3 linked regions of the Drosophila melanogaster genome follow. The protein of the gene in region 1 interacts with the protein of each later gene in a pairwise test. Each region holds a gene or a part of one and is shown in the gene's direction. Other genes may lie near its edges.

The links.
Region 2: the proteins of mirr (region 1) and CG31441 interact in a two-hybrid assay, tested with the Drosophila melanogaster proteins (one large-scale study listed by BioGRID).
Region 3: the proteins of mirr (region 1) and Unr interact in a two-hybrid assay, tested with the Drosophila melanogaster proteins (one large-scale study listed by BioGRID).

Annotation. Positions count from the first base shown.
Region 1 is NT_037436.4:12,692,042-12,695,798, forward strand, and holds the start of mirr (mirror), read left to right. Parts: upstream 1-1,597; 5' UTR 1,598-2,270; coding exon 2,271-2,312; intron 2,313-3,757.
Region 2 is NT_033777.3:11,234,643-11,238,179, forward strand, and holds CG31441 (uncharacterized protein), read left to right. Parts: upstream 1-1,643; 5' UTR 1,644-1,714; coding exon 1,715-1,846; coding exon of another isoform or gene 1,847-1,850; intron 1,851-1,907; coding exon 1,908-2,698; intron 2,699-2,757; coding exon 2,758-2,860; 3' UTR 2,861-2,982; downstream 2,983-3,537. Other genes in the region: Arfip (arfaptin), read right to left, coding at 1-88; CG17721 (uncharacterized protein), read left to right, coding at 767-900, 959-1,274; CG31388 (uncharacterized protein), read left to right, coding at 3,227-3,343, 3,411-3,537.
Region 3 is NT_037436.4:8,440,006-8,443,762, reverse strand, and holds the start of Unr (upstream of N-ras), read left to right. Parts: upstream 1-2,055; 5' UTR 2,056-3,757. UniProt on the Drosophila melanogaster protein: RNA-binding protein that acts as a regulator of dosage compensation in both males and females.

The DNA of each region.
Region 1 (3,757 bases):
CGCCATCCCGCTCTAGCAGCTGCCGTCACTCCTCTCGAGTGGCGTTTCAATTAATTAGAAAAAGTTAAAGAAACGCCACGGCAAAAACGAGAAGCGAAGTACGAAAATACAAAAAACAAAAAACAAAAAACAAATACCTACATAATAAAATGTAAGAGCGTATGTTGTAGCAGCAAAAGCAGCGACGGCAGCTGCGGTGGCGATTTTTGTTCTTCTCGTTTTTTCTTCTGATTTTTTTTTTTTCTTTTTTTGTTGGAGCAGCGCGAAAGATGCCACCAATCCAGCCAAAGAGCCAAAGCGGTCAAGAGGGGCGGTGCAGGGGGTTGGTTGCCAAAGGGATGGGGTAATGGGGGAGGAGGGGGTTTCTGGAGGGGAACGGCCGTAGCAGCGACTGCGGCAGAGGCGGATGATAAAACATTACCCATCGCGTTTGGCCCAACCTCTTCACGAGTCTCGTCGTTCATGTTCATCAGGCTTTTCTTTTTTCATCAACGGCGAAAAGCGAGAAGCGAGCGTAAACACTTTGCTTTCATACGTCGCGACATTCGTCTTGTTGTTGTTGTTGTTGTTGCGTTGTTTATGGCAACAACTACACGTAGCAACACCCACGGCAGCAGCAGCAGCAGCAACAGCAACTGCGGCAGCAGCAGCAAGTAGCAGCGTTGCAACAGCAACAGCAGCAGCAACAACAGCAGCAACATCATCGCCGACAACAACAGCAACAACATCGCCTACAAATACATACATCGGCATTTACAACAACACGCAATAACAGCCATTTTTCTAGTTGTTAAGTTAATTTTTTCATGTTCTGCCGCTCTCGGTGTTGCTGCTGCTGCTGCTGCTTCTTGTCGCCGCTGCTGCTGCTGCTGCTGCTATGCCATCTCGCTCGCACGCCAGCAAGACGACAGCCAACGCGAGCAAGTTGCGATACTACCGCTGTCGCTGCCGCTTGGTTGCGATTCGTGGCCAACGGCGCAGCGGCTATAGCCATCCCGCTCTCGCCCGGCCGCAGCTGGCAGATACTTTATTTATGGTCACACAGGCGGTAGATACTTTTTTTGTTGCCCCCACCCCTCCACCTAACCAACTGGTTTGCTGCGTCTCGCTCGCACTTGCAGCGAGATTGGTGGCTACGTTTCGGTAGGGGGTTGAGGGGTATCTACCGTAGCATACCGATTCCGATGCCGATTCCAATCCCAATCCCCTGAGTGCCACACACAGCCGGAGCGCCAGCCCACTTATAATGATAATCATTATTGCCGTTGTTGCCGTTCGTGTTGTCGTCGTGCCGCCTCGTTTGCTACTTTTTCCAGCGCACACAGATACTTTTCGCACGCACACCAGCGCACAGATACTTGGCCGCTCTCAAAAAGAGCAAAGAGAGCGCACGCACACCAGCGAAGGTGCGAGTAAAAATTAAGGGGAGAAACCCGTTTGTGCGCTCTCTCGCTCACACATACAAACGCGGCGCGGGCTATGTATCGATGTGGTGGTGCGTGGGCCTGTTCTTGTTGTTGCGCTGCGCTGTTTTTCGATTGTCGGTTGTCGTGTAATTCCCATTTGTCGTACACTTTGTAGTTGCTCAAGAAACTCATGTTAGTCTACTTTTGACTGTTACGCAGATTGTTCGTATCGTTCGTGTCCGCCGCAGTGCCAGTGCCGCAGTGTGAATAATAGTGCTCTCTGCCCGCCGCTCGCCGTCGTTCTGCGAGCTGGATTCAAATTCAGTACCCAGATTCAGAAACAGAATCAGATTCACACCCAGATACTACTATTTGCTGCCGCCGCCTCTGGTTCATTCGTGCTTCGTTTTCGCATCCTCCGGATAGAGCTGCTCCTCCCGAATACCGATTCTACCAATTCTACAAATTTAAACGACTCACATAAACGATTCCCGTCGAGCCGCCCGTCGGATTTTACGGATTTACGGTGCCCAGTAGCGCCTGTGTTGGCCAGCTAACTCGAGTTGGCCAGCTCCTTGCAGCCGTCGGCAAGTGCAACGCAGTGCAACGAAACGAATAACAAAAAAAAATAAACACAGCCCAAAGAAAGTAAACACTGAAATAGCTCGCAAGCCGGATCCAAAATCAACATAAAAACTAGTTCGGATCAATCACAAGATCACAGATCGCACAATCACAATCACTTCACTCGGATTATAAATCTATCTAAATACACATACGTCGGTTCAGTGCGCGAGTCCATCGGTGCATCGTAACTCTAAGATTTGCTTTATAGTTTTAGTTAAAAGCAAAAATTAATATTAAATGACAGTGCACAGTAATGAAACCGGTATCTGTTTAGTAATGGTGCGTATATCAATTTGTTTTTTTTCCCCCATTTTTTATTACTTGTAAGATGGTTCAGTTAATCGCTGCATTTTAGCTTGTCTGGCATTTGGATAGTGGCAATTAGATTGAAAACCCGTTCAGCTACGAGGCAAATCAGTGCAACACATGTAGATAAAAGCAGAAACAGTGGGATTACTCTGGGTTCGAATACCTTAGCATTTTGATTTGGCAAACGGAAGACATGGATTTAAAAATAAAACAGATTGAAAATGTCAGGACCACAAGTGTGCTACATTGGGCGAACAACACGCGAAAAACCGTCTGCCAATTCGGAAAATCTCTCTTATGCATCAATGTCTCTTTGGTTGTTAACCAAGCTGGCAAGGTCACCGCACATCGTGCTCAGTCACACTTGAGTGTCCAATAGGATTTTAGCCATAATAATCCCTCAGTGGTAACACGATCCCCAGTTAATATGGTATCCCTGTTCCAAAAATTTAATCGCTTGCACTCGACACTCGAGCATATTCATATATTTTCATATATGTATGTAAAAGCAACTTGTGGCGCAAAGTCGAAAGCTGAAACGGAATATCGGAAATATTAAATGCTCTTTAAACAAACATGAATGGCTGTCACTCTACCCTCGCCATCATAATGGCTACCCGAAAATAATTTACTTTAGCCGCAAAACGACCACTTCGAGTTGAGATATTTGTTGTGTTATAGTTATAGCCTGTAGCCATAGATAGTCGATAATCATCGGCGGTTGATTCAAAGAGCCGCATTGATAAGAAATCGTACGAGTGTATTGTGGATCCATCCAGCCATCCGGCAAACACCGGGAATTAATTTTTAATCGCATAGGGCCACTTGAGTTGTCACTTGATGAAAGCACGAGACGCAACACCGAACCGAATCCCAACTGCAACAGCAACATCAGCGACAACATTGTGGCGGTATCAATCACGACCGATGATACAACATGCAGCACTGTGACCGCCGGCCTGCGATAAAAATCGTATCTTACGCCTCGGATCATTTGTAAAATGTTAAACGGGAAGAGCGGCTCCAAGCCCCGAAGCCCCGAAGCCCCGGAGCCCCTGGAGCCCCAAAGCCCACAGCCCCAAGCCTCAAGAAGTGGAGAAGTTAACCAAGGAGGCAGCGATAAACAAACCTGAAACTTGTTTTCCTTACCCCATGTCGCATGTGTGCGAATGTGTACGTTGCTCTTGTCCACTGAAGTTGTTGCAGTTGTTGCTCTTGCAGTTGTTTCAGTTGACTAAAAGTGTTGACAAAAGTGCGCGATAGGCTTATGTGCACACACAAACACACTATATACCATGCTATACCATACCATACCATACCATATAGAGGATCGATCCAGGCAGTCATTGGACAACTTACAATCAAATTGCTCTTAGGACGTTGTTGCAGCTTGTCGTTGTTGTTGCTGTTGCCGC
Region 2 (3,537 bases), on another chromosome or scaffold:
CGGTGCCCGTGTGCACCGCTCCGCAGCTGTCGTTCAGCGAGGGCGCATCCTTCAGCATTTCGTGAATGCTGCGCTCGCGGTCCGTCATAGCTATGGCCGTCGTTAAGTTAACCGCCCGTCTCACCGAGTAATTGCCAGCGGAAAATCCTCCTGTCTGCCCGTTTTGTGTGGGGGTGTGCCCGATTAGGTGTCTGTGTGTGTGTTTCTCGGGCAACGGCGCTGGAGGTTTCACTTCGATTTCCACGCCGAAATCGATGGCGCACGCTGGGCGAGTCGAGACTTTAGTAACCCCTGCCTGGACTCGTCAAAATTCTCAAATCCCTAAAATTCCGCATAAAGTTCATCAAACTGTGTTCACGAACTGAAAATCGGTGTGACTGTGCGCGAGTAGGTGGTTAAATGCCACACTTGGACTGCTTGGATACCGGCTGTGCGACACGGTATTTTAAAGGCGGAACGGTGGAGTTTGGAACACGGGGAAGTCCTGTCCTGCAGGTCAAGTCGGTGGGACGTGGTTTGGCGGGACAGTGACTGCTGCGAGGACTCTCCTCTGCGGCACCAGCATTAATTTTTAATTCATTTTCATATATATTCTTGATCATGATCAATAGGCCAGTTGATGTGGCCAAGCAATTCTATTTGGATTTTCAGTGCCGACCAGTTGCGGTCCCACTAAAGTGGAAATTTGATTTAATTTTTGGGGATTTCATGGAAAATCTCTACTTATTTCTATTTCCACGTTACTTAGGCCAATAGCCAGCGGAAAATGGTCTACGTGAATCTAATAATAGGCTTGGGCCTGGTGTCCGTTGCCGCTTTCGCCTATTTCAATTGGCATAACGACCGCAGTTCGCCTTACTCCAGGTGGGTGCTATTAAATGAGCGTCGAATCGTGGGCAGGTTGGTGCCTTGCGATTCAAAGCTAAAATGTTGGCTTAAATCCCTTGTTTCATTGCAGGTCGCCGAATGGCAGGTGCACCTTTTGCCAGTATGAACTGAGTGATGACGACCGGCGCCGCATGAGGTGTGGACATGCCATGCACAATCTCTGCTACTTGGTGTTTCGCTATTCCCATAGAAAGTGCCTCGAGTGCGATAAGGTGGTTAATGTCAATATAGCCGGTGACTTGTGCACGATTTGTTTAGATCCCCTAAGTGTTTACACCATGGTGTATCTGCGCTGCAGCCACGCCTTGCATGAGAAGTGCCTCCACCAGTACCAGGCTAATGGTGGCCGCCACTGTCCGGTCTGCAGAATGGGAATTAAGGAGTAGGTATCACCTAGTGATCATGCAGCCAGGCAAAGCCATATATCAGCATAAGCGTGCACTTAATGCAAGGCTCAACGAATTTTATATATAACATTAAGTCGAGAGCAAAGAAGTCTGATTAAGATTTTAGTTCTGAAACGAATAAAAGTTAGATTTCTTAAAAGATGCCGATTTCAACCAAATTGTTGTTTAAAATGAAAGAAAAGTATTGGATGCGTCTATGCTTTTTCAAAAAAAAAAAAAATAATACAATTTTATATTTTTGTTTTGAATTGTTCAAATATCGTTTAGCCAGTGTGTACACACCACGCACATGCACTTAGTAAACAGACAACAGCTGATGTGCATCTTCATTATCTCGCTTGCCATTCACTTGAATGTAATGCATCACAATAATGTTGAGTTTTAAAAAACCTTTTTAAATATCGTTTGGTTTGCTCAAAATGTCTGAGTTGCGATCGATTTGCCGAACTTGTGGCAAAAATGTGACCAATTTGCAGGGTCGGGCTACCAAACTGTTCAACAAAAGCAACTATCACTTTATTAGTATACTGGAAAATATCACCGATATGTATGTATGTAAGTGAATAAAACTAAAGTATGCTGTCTATTTAATTGATTTAAATGATTGTTTAGCTCGAATTTGACACCACTCTGCCACATCTAATTTGCCAATGTTGCAAAGTGCAGCTGGACAGGATCTTAACATTTCGCAATAAGTGCTTGGAGGTCCACAAGTCTTTTATGGCCGCTAACAGGAAACTTTTGCGAAAAAAGGCGATAGTTGATGAGGAACTCGATAAACCGGATGTTGAGAAGCTACAGCAGGATTTGTGGGACCACACGGATCAGGAAATGTGTGTAGCAATGGCAGATACAGCTGGGCTTCTGCGGGAAGATCACAATGATAATGAGAAGGCGAAGGACGCAGAAGATGCGACTCAGAATGAGAAGAATCAGGAGGAACAAGTACAAGTACAAACAGAGGAGGTGGAGCACTGTCAAGAGCAGCTCCATAACATGTCCATCATCTCGAAGGGAGTAAGTGCCCGTGTCCCCAAGCGTACGAAGCGCAACTCCAAGTCCTGGTTCTGTGACCAGTGCGGCGGCGTCTTCAAGTCCTCTACCTACCTCAAACTGCACCTGCAGCGACACAGCGGTCACAAACCGTTCGCGTGCGACATCTGCCAGGCCAAGTACTACACGGATAACGAGATGCGGCGCCACAGAATCCTTCACACGGACGCCAGACCGTACGCTTGTCGGTTCTGTAGCAAGACCTACCGAGGATGCAGCAGTAAAGTGGTCCACGAGCGGACCCACACCAACGAGCGTCCCTTTCAGTGCCAGCATTGCGACAAGGCCTTCACCTCCACGTCGACGCGTCAAAAACATGAGATGCTGCACACTAATCAGCGGAAGTACCAGTAAGTAGGAGCACTAGCTGTCCTCCGTAAAATATGTGCAAACTGACTGTATTTTCCAGCTGCGAGATCTGTGACCAGTGGTTCCTGCGCTCATCCCATTTGACCCTACATCAAAGCACTAAATTACACCAGCGAAGAGCTGAAAGTGCTAGGATTGTCTAGAATTCATGTGGACTGCTGAAAGTACAAGTTTATTATAAGATTCCTAAATTGAACAAATTGATTCTATTTTTGATTTGATGGTTCTAAAAGAAGAAATAATCAAAATGTACACCTGTGACATCAAAGGTTTTCGACTTTTCGCTCTGCAGATACAATGGTTTATTTCTTGAAAAAAACTTGTAACAACAAATTGAGATTTTGAAAATCGGCGGAATGGCCGCGTTGCTGGGCGAATGTCAATTCGAAATCGACTATGCGTGGGGCTGAGAAATGCGAATGCCGCTTTTCTTGTTCTTCCGTCCAAACAAACCGAAAAAGATACACTTCCAATCGATCGGGGTGCTGCGTTATCTCATTACACAAGCCATGAGGTACATTTGCAGGACCTGTTCTCGTATGGCTGATCCTGCGGTAGCCAAGAATCTCTTCGATCCATCGAGTTCTTCCGTTTTGCGTCAAATAGAGACTCTAACTAACTTGCAGGTGAGTGCGTTAGCGTTTTGCGAAAATAAAAACCGAATAAATGCCGCGATCTGTAATCACTTTGCAGCTAAAAGAGGACGGCAAGTTGCCCAGGTTCATGTGCCAGGACTGCCAGCACGACCTGCAGATTGCCATCGATTTCCGCCGCGTTTGCATCGAGGCCCAGGAGCTCCTTGAACTTCAGCTAAGGCAGG
Region 3 (3,757 bases), 4.3 Mb from region 1:
TGTCCCAAATTCTTGATTTTGCCACTAAGATTAAAATGTTAAACAGTTTGTCTTCAAATGAATATTGAAATGTATTAAAGCCATGTAAGCTGAGGAAATTTCATGCCCTTTTAAGCAATGGACAGTTTTAATAGCCTATAGCTAAACGGGTTTTTAAAATTTTAAAATTTCGCTGTACATACATAAAGACGTATTTATTTATATTCCATATAAACTGCACCATACACAACAAATATTGTCACAAAAATATATGTTTGAAATATATCCCTAGAACAACACAGAGACCAAACTTTGGACCTTTTGCAAATGTGTATAGAAATGTAACGCAATCCAGGCAATTAAATAACCCTAAAATATGCAAAACCAGATGCAATTTAATGTGTGACCAAATCGAAGTGCTCGTAACGTAAAAATTATAAACATGATATTAAATCTTTTTAACTACAATTAGCCCGAGATTTATATTTAGCGAGGGCGTTTTGATAATCTATTCATGTTGATAACATTTTGCACTGTCGAATGTATAAAAGGCACCGTAACCAATTAACTAGATTTTGTAAATTGTAATCTTTAAAAATCTGTTCAAGGATAATCAATTTATCAGCATACATATGTATTGGATCCCATTATCATGCAAAATACCATTTAAGTTAATTATGGATTAAGCAACCAAGGAGCTGCTGAAATAAAATTCGTTAAAAGACCCAGGAAGACGTAAAACTAATGTGATTTTCTGTGGGCTGCTAAAAGGAATCTAAAAAAGGGATTTTTTGTGTTTTATGTTTTATGTGACAGAACTTCCGAAAATTAAGAATTAAACTAAGTGAATACACTTCTGCATTTTTGGGGGAATTCCAATTTTACAAAGATAATAACATATCTTCCATATTTATTTATCAGAACAAATAAAACTAGTTTCATTTTTTAAATCAATATATTGCCGCTTAATAAAAGGCGAAAAGATTTTGGGGTTGGCTTAAGTTAGAAATAGCTAGCGATGGTTCTTGTCTCGAATACGTACAGTTTAAAATTAAATATTTAGATGTAATTTTCTTAGTAATAATCCATTTAATTACATAAATTGCTTTTGTTTATTATTAAAACTAAGAATATTACATAAAAGTCACATACAATTCATATTTTATAATTTGCAGTGATAGCATAGAAAATGACATAGATGTATAACCCTGCACTTCTACTACTTTTAGACATTGCATTAAAGATAGTCCCTTTAACTGAATTAAAGTTAAATCGTTATCTTAGATAAGTTTTGATTATTTAAATATAGGAATAGAAAAGCTAAGAGATCCCTGCTCCTACTCCCATGACCACTGACGTCACAATTGTCCCTCTCTTCGCACACCTTCCAACACTGCCATCGTGCTGTCGGCAAATATGGCGCCCGCTAGCAGTTGTTGTGCTGTCGTGTGGTACGTGTGGCTGGTCCAGAAAATTCTCGTTCGCTTCAAATAGGACTATTATTTAACTCAAATTCGGAACGAAAATATGCAGAAAATGTGCCGCGAACAAAGCTGTGATGGAAAAATATGAAATGTGTTAGGGAAATTAGTTTTTAAATGGCGAATTAACGTTTTTTCGTTGCCCAGCCAGATTTTCTACGCTTCTGTGTGTGTGTGTGTGCGTTTGAGGGTACCAAATTTGCAGCCCGAAAAAAAAGTTGATGAAAATTCGTTTTTTTGCTACCAACTTGGCACTTCGGTGACTGTGCATGTGTGTGTGCAGTCTGCGGGGTTGCTAATTTTACGCTAAAAACCACAACAATAATGTGTAAAAATAGTTTACGATTGCAATTGCGTGTGCGTGTGTATGGGCGTGCATGTGTGTGTGCGTAGTAGGTTGCGCCAGTGTGTGTGCAATTTTTTCCGGCAGGCAAAAATCTCTCCATTTGCAACACTGAAAAATCGATAAAACTGCAGCAAGACTTTCGGTGTAGATTTCACTAGCCAAAAATAAAAGAAATAATAAAAAAGATGTATTAATTTTTCTTAATCGTTTCCACCTTTCTCTTTTTCTCATTCAACAGCTTTTGTAACTAAAACTCCGTTTTGACATCACTTTCATCATAATCTGAAAAAATAATAATAATATAAAAAAACAACAACAAATATGATAAAAAAATAAAAAAATCACCATCGAAAACGAATCAAAAAATAATACATACAAATATAAATCGCAAATAATTGAAAGTTACAGCAGAAATAAAAAACAACAACAACATAGCTCAAAAGGAAAAAGTCAAAGCAAAAACTTTTTAAGTTTTTTGGACTCTTCTTTGTTTTTGTTTCGTTTGCTTTGCAAAGAAAAACACACAAAACAGAAAAAACGAGAATTTTTACGCCGCCCGTCGGTGTGAGCGAGACAGACAGAGAGGGAGATAAAGCGACTGCGCAAATAAAAAAAGAAAACAAAACAACAAACAACATAAAAAACAAGCCAAGCTTGAAACGAAGACTTTCAAATAAAACAACAACAAAACCAACAACAAACCAAACAAATTGAAACGCTGTGAAATTAACTCGTCAATACTCAAAAGCACCAACAAATAAATAAACAAAAAGAAAAGCTAAAACAAAATAAAAGGCAAACCACGAAGGAGCAAGTAAAGCGGAGTTTAACAAGAAAACGGCAAAAGCACTGAAAACAAAAAAGCAACGGGAAACGAAACTAACGTGAAGTCAAAGGCAACGGCGCTGCGGCGTTCGGACTCTCGAATAAAACAAAAACAATTCAAGCAAAACCGCAAAACCTACACTTGGAAAAACGCTAAATAAATCCCAAATTCCTCATTATTTTTCCTGAAAAGCTTTAATTTAATTACGAATTTTTTGTTGTTAAGTCAGAGTGAATTCAATTTGCTAATTAATTTAAATTAAGACATCAACAACCGAGCTACAAAAGCAGCAACAACAACAAACAAACAACAACCAACAAACAACTGAATTAATGTTTTAAAGTACAAAATAACCGGGAGTAAATCAACAACAAATAATTTAAACATATTAAAAACGATTTAATTTAAAACGCAACATCAATCTAAATTATTTAACTAAACATAAAAACAAACACTGCTAGAATTTAAGTCCAAAAACAACTGATAAACGCCCACAAGGGCGAAAGGGAAGTGGGAGACAGAGCGATAAATGGAGGAGAAGCGAGGAGAGCTGAATAAAACCGATCAAGCAACAATTGTGCCGCAAAAAAAGTGTGAATAAAAAATATATACTAAAAAAATAACGGTAACAATAAAGAAAACATTTAAAACCAAAAATCTACAAGAATTCTATAAGTTTTAAGTCACGTTTTACACAGACCTACAACAACAACACCAGCAATTGAACTTAGCCAATAAATTTAATTAAAACAATAAATTAGTGAAAAAAAAATAAACGGATTAAGCCAATATATATAGAGAACGCATAACAAATTCAAAACTGCGGCCTTGTGCCAAAAAAACAGTTTTTATTTTTTCCAATAAAACATTGTTTTTTACTAGTTTTCAATTCAGATTTTTTTATAAGTGTACCTAGTGAGAAATGTTAAAAGTCTAAAACAGCAAAAGCAACTGCAACAAACGGAAGTAAAACGGAGAAAAGAAAAACAAAACAAATTCAAAGAAAGATTTAACAACTCTGTGATAATTACTGTAAATTTATAAATTTAAAGAAAAAAAAAAAACAAAAACCTAAAGAAAAACCACAAAAAAATCTCTAATTAAATGAAAGGAAAACCCCGTCAT